2 linked regions of the Drosophila melanogaster genome follow. The protein of the gene in region 1 binds, or shares a complex with, the protein of each later gene. Each region holds a gene or a part of one and is shown in the gene's direction. Other genes may lie near its edges.

Region 1 (6,940 bases):
GCAGCTTCCCCAAACGCTGCACCGTTCGCTTCCAGTTGTGGAACTCACGGTTTTTAAAGGGCTTCATGGCCATACGGTACTCCTTCCACTGGCGCTGGCGCTCCTCCTTCGTACCAGGCGGTGCATCCTCGAGCGGCGGTGGTGCCTCTGGCTTCTGTATCCATTGGCCATTGACCTGGACAAATGTGCCGCAGCGCTTGGGCTTCTTGGAGGGCTGCGCTTCCCCGTTTGACGGCGAATTGTTGCCATTGCTTGGCGGTGGGGGCGGAGGCATAAGCCTCGTATCTTTGTCACTGTTGCCGCGATGGTTTACCTTGAATTTCTTGTTATTCTGGTTTGGATTGCTGCGATTGTTTTGTGCTCCCTGCTCCTTGGGTACCAGATTCCACAAGCTGGGGCACTTGGGCATGGGCGGTTGGATTGGTGGTGGTCTATGTTGTGGCGACATCATGTCCTCCCAGAACGGAGGCGGCTGCAGAGGTCGGTGATTGTGATTCCGGCGGGGCCCAGAACCACGTGGTCCTCCAAAGCCCACTGGACCACCGGGGCCCATACTGCTCATGGGACCACAGGGACCCATATTGCTTATGGGACCGCGAGGTCCTCCTGGTCCCATTGGCCCCATGGGGGGACCGCATTGTCCGGGTCCAGGCCCAAAATTGCCTCCAAAGCCCATGTTCATCAGCTGCATAGGAAGTGGAGGCGGTCGATTCATCGGAGGATAGTTCCTGTCCTGGTAGCTTTGCGGACCTCCGCCTCCATGAAAGGCATTGTTGCTATTCGAAGACCAATGTTTACGTCCGTTGCCGTTGTTGTTATTGTTGTTGTTGTTACTATTGTTATTGTTGCTCCGTTGTAGTCCGCTTTTGGTATCCGGTTTCAGTGCATCCTTGCATTTCTTCCAATCTGCAAACGACATTTTCAGCGGCTTAGTTTCAGGCTCATCTTTGCCGGACTCCGGAACGACTTCCTTGGAATCCTCTGGTGCCGCCTCCACGTCCCCGTTTTCAGACATCTCGCACCTTAGAGAGTGGGAATACACTTTATAAATATATCAACTTAATTTTATTTGAGTTTTGCTTAGCGATGGCAAACAAAAATTTCAATAACAACAAATTGAAGGAACAGCCGATGTTTTCTATCGATATTTTCGTGCTTAAAATTTTAGGGAGTTTCCCCTGAAGTATTTTCTTAAGAGTCCTGTTGTTCTTAAAAAAGAACAGTAGTTTCCAAATGTATTCTCTAAACTTTCCGCTATACCAGTAAATCTTCATTTGTTAACTAGTAAGCGATATATTAATGCCCAACGTAATATAATATATATTTAACATTTTCGATCCCATGCAGACACAACCGGCGGGGAATAGTAATTGCCCAGCGTCCAGATACCATAGTGAATTGTTGGTTATCAGCGATAAGTGTCTGATTTCGTAACATTTATTTCATATTTAAATTTAAATTTTAATACGAACACATCTGTGATGCGAAATTGATGTGAGCTTTTTGACTGCGCTTTACGTGAACTGGTCTGGATAGCTGTGGCGCATCTCTAAAATCTAACGTGTTCGATCAGGTGGCAACACCCACCGTAAAAAACGATTTTAGTCGCAGTCGCAGAGATTTTGGTTTTGGTAAGCTCTAGTAATTTATTGGAAATTACGATCCAAAATACACCGTTTTAAGAGACGTTTCAATCGGCCATTAAAGTAAATAATAAGCGCGACGAAGACTAAACATCAAAAGTGTTGAAACTAGAACGAGAGTGCAAAGTCGGTCGCCAGCAAAACGCGTAGTTTGCTTATTTTAACGAAAAGCGGCCAGTGCCATTAAAATATTACTCAATTTCACAGAGAATTTTGGCCGAAAACGGATGCAATATATGGATATATAGACCCTGTTTCCTGAAAGTTAACTTCCTTTTTGTTCTACGCCCAACACGGTCGTCAACTGCGCTGCCATCGTCGACGTCGGCAGAGGCCATTCTTGTTGTTGCTATTCTCGACATATGATTCAATAGAGCGATCGCCTCTCTCTTTCTCCCTCCCACGGACAATTTCAGTTTTTTGTAATATTTCTGTTAGCTGTGTTTTAGTTGCCCATGTTTGTTTGTTCTTGTTGTTGTTGCTGCTGCTGCTGTTGCTGCAGCGGCAGTAAGTGATATTTAAAAAAGAAATGAGTTGTTCGCATGGAGCGAAAGTCGAACTGAAATAACACAAATGGTCGTCCGTTTGTCGTTCCCATTCGATATATGCCAACAATTTTCATCAATTATTTACATATTTTGCTTTTGGAACTTCGCACCGATTAACTGAGCAGAAGCCAGAAGCTCAGAAGGCGCCAATGGGTTAATTTGGCCACTAAACTATAGATAAATCGCGGTGTTATCAGCTAAAGCCGCTTATCAAACGTGCACATCGTTAAGATATACGAGAGCTTTGCGTCGCAATATTCGAGATTCGGTCGGAAACGAGGCCAATCTCCATATCCTAAGAAACCTTTTGGTTGTCCATGCTCTCGGCCATTACTCCCAAGTTCTAATGCAATATAGTCGGCTTTGATCATCCTAGCAGCTGAAAGCATGTATCCAAATAGTACAATAGTTTTAATGTAAACAATACATTTGATCGATAACTAACCTTTCTTGTGTTTACAGGGGGAGGTGCGGAAACAGCTTCTACGATTCATTTTTGATCAATTCTTCAACAACATTTAAACGAACGAATAAGTTAGCAGACCATATAGACTGAAATCAGCAGATCCGGACACCAGGCGGGACAACCTTAAGACTTCTTCACGAGACGATATCGAATCCAACGAATCCCGAGAATGGCTCACACACACCTGGGACGCGCCGTGAAAAACATTGAGGCGCCACGCCCGTTGAAGACACAATCGCGATCGTCGTTGAAGAACAGCTACCTGGTGATCGAGGAGCTAATCCAGTTGATAGACAACGTGACCGTCGGTCTTCAGTCGTGCAACACCACGCCGGAATCGATCACGCTGCTCCTGCACAACCTCCGGGTGCATGGACCGCAACTGGAGGCGGTGTCCAAGGATACACTGGACCGGGCCTTCGTCGTTTTCCGCAACGCTTCGCAGGACGAACGGCTGAATATAACGACGCGCCTCAAGCTGCTCGAACTCATCGAGCTGCGCGCCAAGAGCTGGGACAATGACGACACAATCGCGTACTACAAGTCCAAGCAGCAGATCTCCAACGTGGAGGTGAGTAGAGTACATAGAATCGATCTCACTTTGGAAAACGATCAAATATGTATCGTTGCTTTGCAGCTGCCTTCGGAATACCAGTACGATGCCGGCGTGCAGCCTGGCGCCTTCAGCACCTCCCCCACATTCGGCGTCAGCGGCGGTGTTGGTGGCGTTAACGATGGAGCCGCAGCCGCCGCTGCCGCCGTCTTCAATGCAGCATCTGCAGCTGCAGCCGCCCAAGCTGCGGCCATTGCGGCCGTGGGCACATCCAACCAGCAGCACATGCTGCTGCCGCCCGGTGAGGTCATTCGTAATTCGGGCAAGTTCCCCAAACCGACCAAGATTCCTGGCAAGACGTACTGCAAGGACGAGGTCGTGATTCGCAATGCTGACTCCGGCAAAGGTAAGTTTTTCAATCAGCTGAGGAGTGTTCTGGAGCACACAGATCTACAGAAATGGTTTTCAATAATGTATTCCTCCATTCCCGTGGCCAAAAAGTAATGGGCATCAAGGGGCGTCGCGTGCACATGATCGAGGAGCTAAGCGAAACCATTATATCGTTTCAAAGAGGTAACTCCAGAGAGCTGGTTTTAATTGTGATCCTCACCGCACCCCCATTTCATTTGGCACGCTTATTTAAATCAATTAATGCCCGGTGGCTTCTACAAAATTTACTAATAGAAATTATAAATACGCATGTTCCAGATTTTGTCCATTCAACGACACCACATTAAGCCAAAATTGATCGTTAAAGGCATTTTGAAATCACATATTTTCATACTGTATATATGCATTTTGTTTTTAAATGTTTTCGCATCCCAATTATTTTTCATAAATATAAATGCTTTTTTCGAGAACAATTATGAATGCCTTGTTTTCATTAGTCAACCCGGGTGCCAAGGAGCGTTTGGTGCAGATTACTGGTCCAGCTGAGGATAAAATTAAGTGAGTAAAGTAAATAAATTAAAGCTAATTTACCTTTATGTCAAAATGTTTTAATTCTACGACAGCTATGCCAAACAACTTATGGAGGACACCATTCGTCGGAACGCCTCGCCGGTGCGCCTGGAACCCGCTCCTGCCGTTGGAGGATCCTGCTCCTCGCTTAACTCGTCCAACTCGGACGACGCCATTGTGCAACCAAGAACGCCAACCGGAAGCAGTTTGGCCAACCGGCTAAGCTTTAACTCGGCCCAAAACTTCATGACCGCCACAGCTGCTGCACAGCAGATCTCGCAGCAGATGCACCACCAAACGCATCACCTGCAGCACCAACAGCAGCAGCAGGTCGCCGCAGTAGCCGCCGCAGCAGCAGCGGCGGCACATGCTCAGGCGACAGCCGCTGCCGGTAAAGTCTTGCGTCCCAATCAACAGCTGCTAATGCACTCATATTCCACAAACGATGCTTCCGTAGGTGAATACAAGTTCACGGTCAACGTGGGCCAGCACCTGATCAAGATCACCGGCGACTGCTGCGAACTAGTGCGCGTGAGTAATGTTGAAGTTTTCAATTGTGAAATTTGTTAAATCCCCTGCGATTTCAAGGTGGCCAAACTCGTGCTCGATGACTATTTTAGCAGCTCGGAGTTTCTGGCATCCATTGAGGCTGGCGCCGCCTTCGACGGCACTTCGCTGGTGACCACGCCATCGACTCCGCTTCCCGGAGCCGGGCCGCCGCAATTTTGGCTGCCCGGCACGGACAGTGGCATTGGACTGAATTGCGTTGTTTCCTCGTCAGCGAACAACAATGGTGAAGGCGACGACGAGGTGTTCGCTGAGCCCAGCAATGGAGGATCATCGACTAGCAATCAGAATGGACTGGCCAGATCGCGTCGCAGCCACTTTTCGCGCAAGGAGTCCACGCCGGAGACCAAGGGCGCTCGGGAAAAGGGTGACTTGGACGATTTGGCAGGCACCAATTCCTTGAAAAGCAATGCATGTAAGATTACAATCCTTTTATGCTTAACCAAGTCTTTGATGCTTAAACTTAAATTACAGCTCGCGTTTCTTACGATATTGAACACTTGCTCTACTACTCCATGAGTCCGCACTCGTGGACCCTGCCCACCGACTGGCAAAAGATGCAGGAGACAGCGCCCTCGATTCTGCGCAACAAGGTAATTTCGCCGTTCGATGGCTCACTTGGCCGTACGGCTTACTCTTCGAACATCCCCGATGCTATCATCGCCAGTGCACCTAACTCATCAGTAATAACACATCCGTGGGCTTTAAATGCAATAACCTCCTCCCCGAACACAAATATCATCAGCACCGCCGTTGGACTAGCTGCTGTCGATGCGTCGGCAGACAACAATCCCCTAACCGTCACTAACAAGCAATCAAAAGGGATCTTCGCCGAACGCGAGAACCGTCGCCTTCCCAAAACATCGGCCGTGTCCGATCGAAACCTGTATAACAAGCAATTGCAAATCATAACTAATACTGTGGGTCAATCGGTGGCAACACAAGGAAAGCATCGCCAGTCTAGCTATCAAACATCACAAGTGAAGGCAATTTTTCAACGCTACTGCGAGGACGATGAGTTTTCATTGGCACTGTGCGAAACAGAATCGAATAATAACCGCGTTTATGTGTAATTTCATTTAATTTCATTTAATTTAATTTAATTTTACGTAGCCGGAATACGTATTATTGAATCTCAGTCACAGATAGGCTTTTCTTTTCATGTCAGTATTTTTGCTGTTTTAATTTTATATAACTTATCATTAAGAAAAGGTGAAGCGTGAAGAACTTGATAATGAATCAAGTCAATACATCATTATCATTATCATCATCCAGTCATTAGATTAACGACATACCATCGAAACCAAACCGATCGCTAGTCTTAGAGGTAACAATACATATAATGCATTGAAATTAAAATGTAACTATAGGGAGAATCTGTGTTTTGGCTGTGAAACAGATTAAGTCGTCGCTAAGGATAAGCTGGAAAGGCGGTTGAAACCGCTTAACCGCTAACAAACAAACATTCTCGAATTCAAACCAACATTTACAAATCTGTAATCAATACGATTTATATTAACTAATAAACAGGACTTTCAAAGTCCGTAACAAAGCTTGGCTGGGTTTAACTTACACCACCACACACCCCACACATTGTAAATTATAAATTGTAACTTGTGTTTTACCACCGAAGCATCATAACATCACCACCTAACCACCACTCCAGATGGCTAACTTAGTTACTAAACTGTTCCGTATGTATATATGTTCGTTCATCCCTGGATAGCTTGCGTGTCAATGTTACTTTGAAATCAGATATTAAACCATTTCTTTGTTCGACAACAGGATCTGCAGGATGAGAGCCAGCGCTTCGATGGTGATAAGTATCTGGCCAGCATTAAGACGGCCGCCAAGCGAGACATTGTGGCTGCCGATGAGGTCGAGACTCTGGACGAATAAAGCCATCAATCGAGCGGCTCGAACTGACAATATAGAGTGTCCCGGGGTGAAGTGCCTGCTCCCAGACGGAGCTGCAGTATGCTTCAATGCTTTTGGCCATGGCCACATCTAACAATCGCAAACTCAAAACGACCAAAACAAAACAAACAAAAAAAAAAGAATATTGAAAAATATGCAAACTAACCCTAGAAATTACCAACGAAATAATCAAAAATTTCAAAATAACTAGAAAATTCAACGAAGCTCTTAGTTAAGTTCAATCGAAATGGGAATCCGGAATATTCCCAATATATACTAATTCAAA
Region 2 (5,458 bases), on another chromosome or scaffold:
TATGGAAACATTATTAATTGTATGTATGCCGTTTGGTCAATTAGTTATCTAATAGCTTTGTGGTCTACCCATCTATTGTTGACTGCCACAGAACCCTTTTCGAAACGATTCAAGTGGCATTTTCAGCGCTCGTTGGCTGTCAGTTTCGAGTATCTTAAAGATACTTTTTTGACCAATCGGAATTCATTGGTTCAGTAAGCATATTCGGCGACTGGGTGTCTGAAATCTGGTTTCGATCATCTTATCTTGATGGTATAACTAGCATTTAGATACCCATTTTTCTTCATAATTCTTAATTTTATTTGTTGCATAATTTATGAAAATAGTACGAAAAAGTACAATTTTTTATACAGGTTCTGTATAAGTTACAAGGTACCCATTAGTCGAAACCTTATTTATCGAACTTTATAACCTAACCACTTGACTATGATTTATTTACAATTAAGCATCTTTGAGCGCTTCAATTACTTTTTACTTCCAATTAATGCAAAGTATACTGCCTAAGGTTTAACTTTGACTCCGGGTTTCCTGTAGATCGGCGGAAGTTTTTTTGTTTAGACATGCGCCAAGCACTTGAAGTCCGCAATTGACTGCTGCATAATTAGATGCGATGCGATTGGAATAGAGGATGCGATGGGTAATCACATCAACACTTGGACAGGCGATCAAGTGTCAGTTCAATAAGACCGGCTCAAGTGTAATTAGAGACCACGGATCTTGGGTTTCGGGAAGGGATCTTGGGTTTTCGGATCATCGATCCAACGATCGTGCCGAGCTCTTGAAAGCCGCTTATTAGGCATTTACAAGGGCAACTGCGCAGTTGATCGGTTACAAAATGACTTAACTATTTAAATAATAAACACGCTTCACGTTTCTCAGGCTAAGTTCGTAAGCATCTTCAATTTTCGGATTGCGTCTCAACTGCAACAGTCTATTTTGAAAGTCAAGCGTTTCTAAAAGCGCCACATCATCAGCGGTAATATTATCCATCCCTCATAAATATTCCCATGTTGTTTTGGGATCTTTTGGCTATTTTTAAAGCAGACAAAGGCGAGCCAATAATGTGTGGAAAGAATTTTGGTTGGATTCAAATACGAAGCAGCTTTGGTAACAACTAAGGTTCTGGGTTAGTCATGATTCACCAACAGGTTAGACTTAGTTTTGTGGCAAAATTTAACCAATGACGTCCAAGTTCTAACTAAAGTAATATCGTTACTTTGTTATTTTATTTTTGGATATTCTCGAAAGTTTCTGGAATTCTCAAGAAAACTTAAACAATATAGAGTCGCATTATATGGAAAACTCATTGATTCATTCTTATGTTTGTTATTTTGTTATTAAATTCCAATTGATGATGCCAGTGTCTAAATAAAAACGAAGACCTAATTTTCAACCAAAAATCAGGTTTTCTGGGCTTGTCCGTATTAAACATTTTTGATAATTATTTATAATATATTGTTATTTTTTGCTGGCTTCAAAACATCAACAAATTGTGTATGATAAATGACGATGACGTTGTTGTTGATGGCGATCGCGCTGTGGGAATCAGATGAAATGTCAATTAAGTTTGCATTTATATCTTTGATTGAAGCTCTAAGATTTGCTTTGCCATTTTATGCGGAAGTTAAGCTCGGTCAGTTCTTGAAAAAGTTCCCATGGGAGCAAGTTATTTGTTTTTTGACAATAAGAAGCGTTTATTTAAAATGGCTTATTATGGCCTCAATGATTCCTAATAGGCGTAACTTACTGGTTATAAACTTGTTTAATATCGTTTCATTTTAAACCTGGATGACAGAAAATGAATTTCGGTTCAAATACAAATATTACAATAGAAAGTATGATATTTAGCTCCGATAAACATTTAACAATTTTAGTATTTTAATGGTGAAATGGTAAATTCCGCGCATGAAAAGAGATAGAAGAGATGACATATATGGAAACCTTAAAAACGTAACGGTTGCTTGGGTTTTATAACAATCAGTCAGTGACAGGCATTTCCAGAGTTGCCCTGTTCAACAATCGATAGCTGCCTTCGGTCGCTCGTCACTAACTTTCCTTTAGGCAACGGCCACACTGTCTGGCCACCAAAATCCCAAACTTAATTAAAGAATTAAATAATTCGAATAATAATTAAGCCCAGTAACCTACGCAGCTTGAGTGCGTAACCGATATCTAGTATACATTTCGATACATCGAAATCATGGTAGTGTTGGAGACGGAGAAGGTAAGGCGAGAAACGGCGAGCCGCATGGTTTCGATTTCGGCTGAGCCGTGGCAGGAACAACAAAAACAGGGTTGTTGCACAAGAGGGGAGGCGATAGTCGAGCGGAAAAGTGTGCAGTTGGCGTGGCTACATCATCATTGTGTTCACCGATTATTTTTTGCACAATTGCTTAATATTAATTGTACTTGCACGCTATTGTCTACGTCATAGCTATCGCTATCTCTGTCTGTCTCTATCAAGCTATCTCTCTTTCGCGGTCACTCGTTCTCTTTTTCTCTCCTTTCGCATTTGCATACGCATACCACACGTTTTCAGTGTTCTCGCTCTCTCTCTCTTGTCAAGACATCGCGCGCGTGTGTGTGGGTGTGTTCTTCTTTAGCTACATATACATAAATAGGAGAGCGGAGAGACAAATATGGAAAGAATGGAAAAAGAGTGAATTACTGCAATTAACCAGTCGCGAACAGTTAAATCATATTTTTGTCGGCCATTGCAGTAAATAAACCGTTGGCTTTCCCTCTTCACTTTCCACCTCCTTTCTTTGACGTTAATTTTTTTCAGTTAATCGCGCCGCTGCTTTGAACTCGAACACGAATTTTAGCCGCAACATAAAATAAAATCAAGTAACTCTTTTAACTCAAATATAAAACAACAATTCCAATTCTTTCAACAGGCAATCTGTGTTTTTATGTCAGATACGTGCGCGTGTGTGTGTGTGCTGTAATTCCATCGCCCCTTTCGATTCCGAGTTCGTTAGGAACAGCATTAGTTCGCCTATTTTAGTAGTAGCCTAGTCCGATTTTAAGTGAAACAGGATACTCCAACACCATATACTCAATAATTAGTTACAACACCCACTCAACCATACAGCAACAACAAGTTTAACGAGTTTTTTGTATTATCATTACTTAGTTTTTTGGTTAATAATACACAAGTGAAGAGCGAACTGCAGGGGAGCGAGATATCACGAAACAATCCAAAATCCACACACACTCAAACAGAAATCAAAAGCTTCGCTCTCTCGCACACACACGCACCAACCAACTATCAACTATCACAAACACCGCGACAGAGAGAGAGCGGCAAGTGAATCACGGCGAATCGAAACCGATCCGAACCCACTCCGGAGCCGAAAAAGAACTGATCCTACCATCAAACGCATCCAATAAACACGGCCGCCAACATGCAGAGCGACTTTCACAGAATGAAGAACTTTGCCAATCCCAAGTCCATGTTCAAAGTAATACTCTCAGTGCGCCTGTCGCTAAGCCAAGCTAATCTAATCTTCTGATTCCCCTTCCCATCCATTGCCATCTTCTCCCGCAGACCAGCGCCCCCAGCACCGAGCAGGGTCGTCCGGAACCACCAACTTCGGCTGCAGCGCCCGCCGAGGCTAAGGATGTCAAGCCCAAGGAGGACCCACAGGAGACTGGTGAACCAGCAGGCAACACTGCAACCACTACTGCTCCTGCCGGCGACGATGCTGTGCGCACCGAGCATTTATACAAACACCCGCTCATGAATGTCTGGACGCTGTGGTACCTTGAAAACGATCGGTCCAAGTCCTGGGAGGACATGCAAAACGAGATCACCAGCTTCGATACCGTCGAGGACTTCTGGAGCCTATACAACCACATCAAGCCCCCATCAGAGATCAAGCTGGGTAGTGACTACTCGCTATTCAAGAAGAACATTCGGTGGGTTTGCTGTTTATTGCAATTCTGCCAAGATAACCTTTACTAACTGATATCTCATTTGCAGTCCCATGTGGGAGGATGCAGCCAACAAACAGGGCGGTCGTTGGGTCATTACCCTTAACAAAAGCTCCAAGACCGATCTGGATAACCTATGGCTCGATGTGGTAAGTGCACAAAGAAACGAGTGGTGAGCGGATGGTCTATTTATAGTGAATGTACATTCTTGAAATGCAAAAATATAGAAATAGGTGTATGATTTTGCAATATAAATTATAACTTATAGAAAATATCAGCTAAAAATACGCTAGTGCTAGCTTTTGTCTTAGGAACATTCAATAGTGAGCTTATATCATAAATATTTTTCGCATATGAGTAACTACAACTGTTTTGCCTTCCAGCTGCTCTGCCTGATTGGTGAGGCCTTCGATCACTCTGATCAGATCTGCGGCGCTGTTATAAACATTCGCGGCAAGAGCAACAAGATATGTAAGTTTTCACGCACACCCAACTTCAGCGGAATTCCTTTGTTTAACGATTAATGCTTTCCAGCCATCTGGACTGCCGACGGAAACAACGAGGAAGCTGCCCTTGAGATTGGTCACAAGCTGCGCGATGCCCTGCGTCTGGGACGCAACAACTCGCTGCAGTATCAGTTGCACAAGGACACGATGGTCAAGCAGGGCTCCAACGTGAAATCGATCTACACTTTGTAGGCGGCTAATAACTGGCCGCTCCTTATTCGGTCCGATCCCACACTGATTATTTTGTCTTTCATTTATTTATCGTTATAAGCAACAGTAGCGATTAATCGTGACTATTGTCTAAGACCCGCGTAACGAAACCGAAACGGAACCCCCTTTGTTATCAAAAATCGGCATAATATAAAATCTATCCGCTTTTTGTAGTCACTGTCAATAATGGATTAGACGGAAAAGTATATTAATAAAAACCTACATTAAAACCGGATACTTTTGATCTTTGATTTTGGAGATATTTTAAAATAGAAAAAAGTTAACCTATATTGTTTTTGGGATAATTACTTGTTGTATTACTAAAACGAGCTTGTATCCTAATATGGGCACCTAAAGCAAAACTTCCAAATTTGGAATTCAATTTGTTGCTAAAAATACGTTAGCAATTTCTAGGGTGGCCAAAAAAAAATGTGTATCGATATATCGATAGGTTTCCTAAATAGACATTAAAATAATTTTAGCTTTTTACTTATATTGTTAGAGTAAATACGTTTGTATTTAAAAAATAAGTCAGTATTTTTTTTTTATTAACCTATTATTGAATTTTATATGAGTGAGAGCTTTTCCATTCAGCCAAGAACGGTCACACTGCATGTGACATGTTTCAATTGTGTAGGCGCAGTCACACTGGTCGCGTCGCTCGTAGATATCGTGTAAGGATATGTCTCCGTGTTTAGCTAAATAAAATACATAAAATATATGTGCAATTCTAACAAGCATAGCCATTTAGCGTAGAGTAGTGGAACGAACAGCTCGTACCGGGCCAGTAACAACAAATTAACAAG

Evidence for each region.
Region 2: the proteins of mxt (region 1) and eIF4E1 are in contact, whole or in part, in a crystal structure (PDB 5ABV), measured with the Drosophila melanogaster proteins. Residues at the interface, in NP_001260053.1 of Drosophila melanogaster: Val579, Ser580, Tyr581, Ile583, Leu586, Leu587, Tyr589, Ser590, Ser592, His594, Ser595, Trp596, Thr597, Leu598, Pro599, Asp601, Trp602, Lys604, Met605, Thr608, Ala609, Ser611, Ile612, Leu613, Arg614, Asn615, Leu618, Arg624, Phe625, Tyr630; in NP_001261626.1 of Drosophila melanogaster: Lys80, His81, Pro82, Leu83, Met84, Tyr91, Glu93, Asn105, Glu106, Ile107, Thr108, Ser109, Val113, Glu114, Trp117, Ser118, Leu119, Tyr120, Asn121, His122, Ile123, Lys124, Pro125, Lys130, Tyr135, Asn171, Leu174, Asp175, Leu178, Ile181.

The regions. Positions count from the first base shown.
Region 1 is NT_033779.5:4,841,930-4,848,869, reverse strand, and holds mxt (mextli), read left to right. Parts: upstream 1-1,574; 5' UTR 1,575-1,631; exon of another isoform or gene 1,632-1,706; intron 1,707-2,105; exon of another isoform or gene 2,106-2,154; intron 2,155-2,519; exon of another isoform or gene 2,520-2,591; intron 2,592-2,653; 5' UTR 2,654-2,826; coding exon 2,827-3,228; intron 3,229-3,294; coding exon 3,295-3,616; intron 3,617-3,711; coding exon 3,712-3,783; intron 3,784-4,097; coding exon 4,098-4,158; intron 4,159-4,223; coding exon 4,224-4,701; intron 4,702-4,758; coding exon 4,759-5,152; intron 5,153-5,211; coding exon 5,212-5,810; 3' UTR 5,811-6,286; downstream 6,287-6,940. Other genes in the region: CG11927 (uncharacterized protein), read right to left, coding at 1-1,015. UniProt on the Drosophila melanogaster protein: Plays a role in promoting translation.
Region 2 is NT_037436.4:9,399,046-9,404,503, reverse strand, and holds eIF4E1 (eukaryotic translation initiation factor 4E1), read left to right. Parts: upstream 1-2,043; 5' UTR 2,044-2,200; coding exon of another isoform or gene 2,201-2,224; exon of another isoform or gene 2,225-2,587; intron 2,588-2,698; exon of another isoform or gene 2,699-2,847; intron 2,848-2,897; 5' UTR 2,898-3,407; coding exon 3,408-3,464; intron 3,465-3,550; coding exon 3,551-3,921; intron 3,922-3,985; coding exon 3,986-4,085; intron 4,086-4,319; coding exon 4,320-4,407; intron 4,408-4,470; coding exon 4,471-4,634; 3' UTR 4,635-4,886; downstream 4,887-5,458. UniProt on the Drosophila melanogaster protein: Recognizes and binds the 7-methylguanosine (m7G)-containing mRNA cap during an early step in the initiation of protein synthesis and facilitates ribosome binding by inducing the unwinding of the mRNAs secondary structures.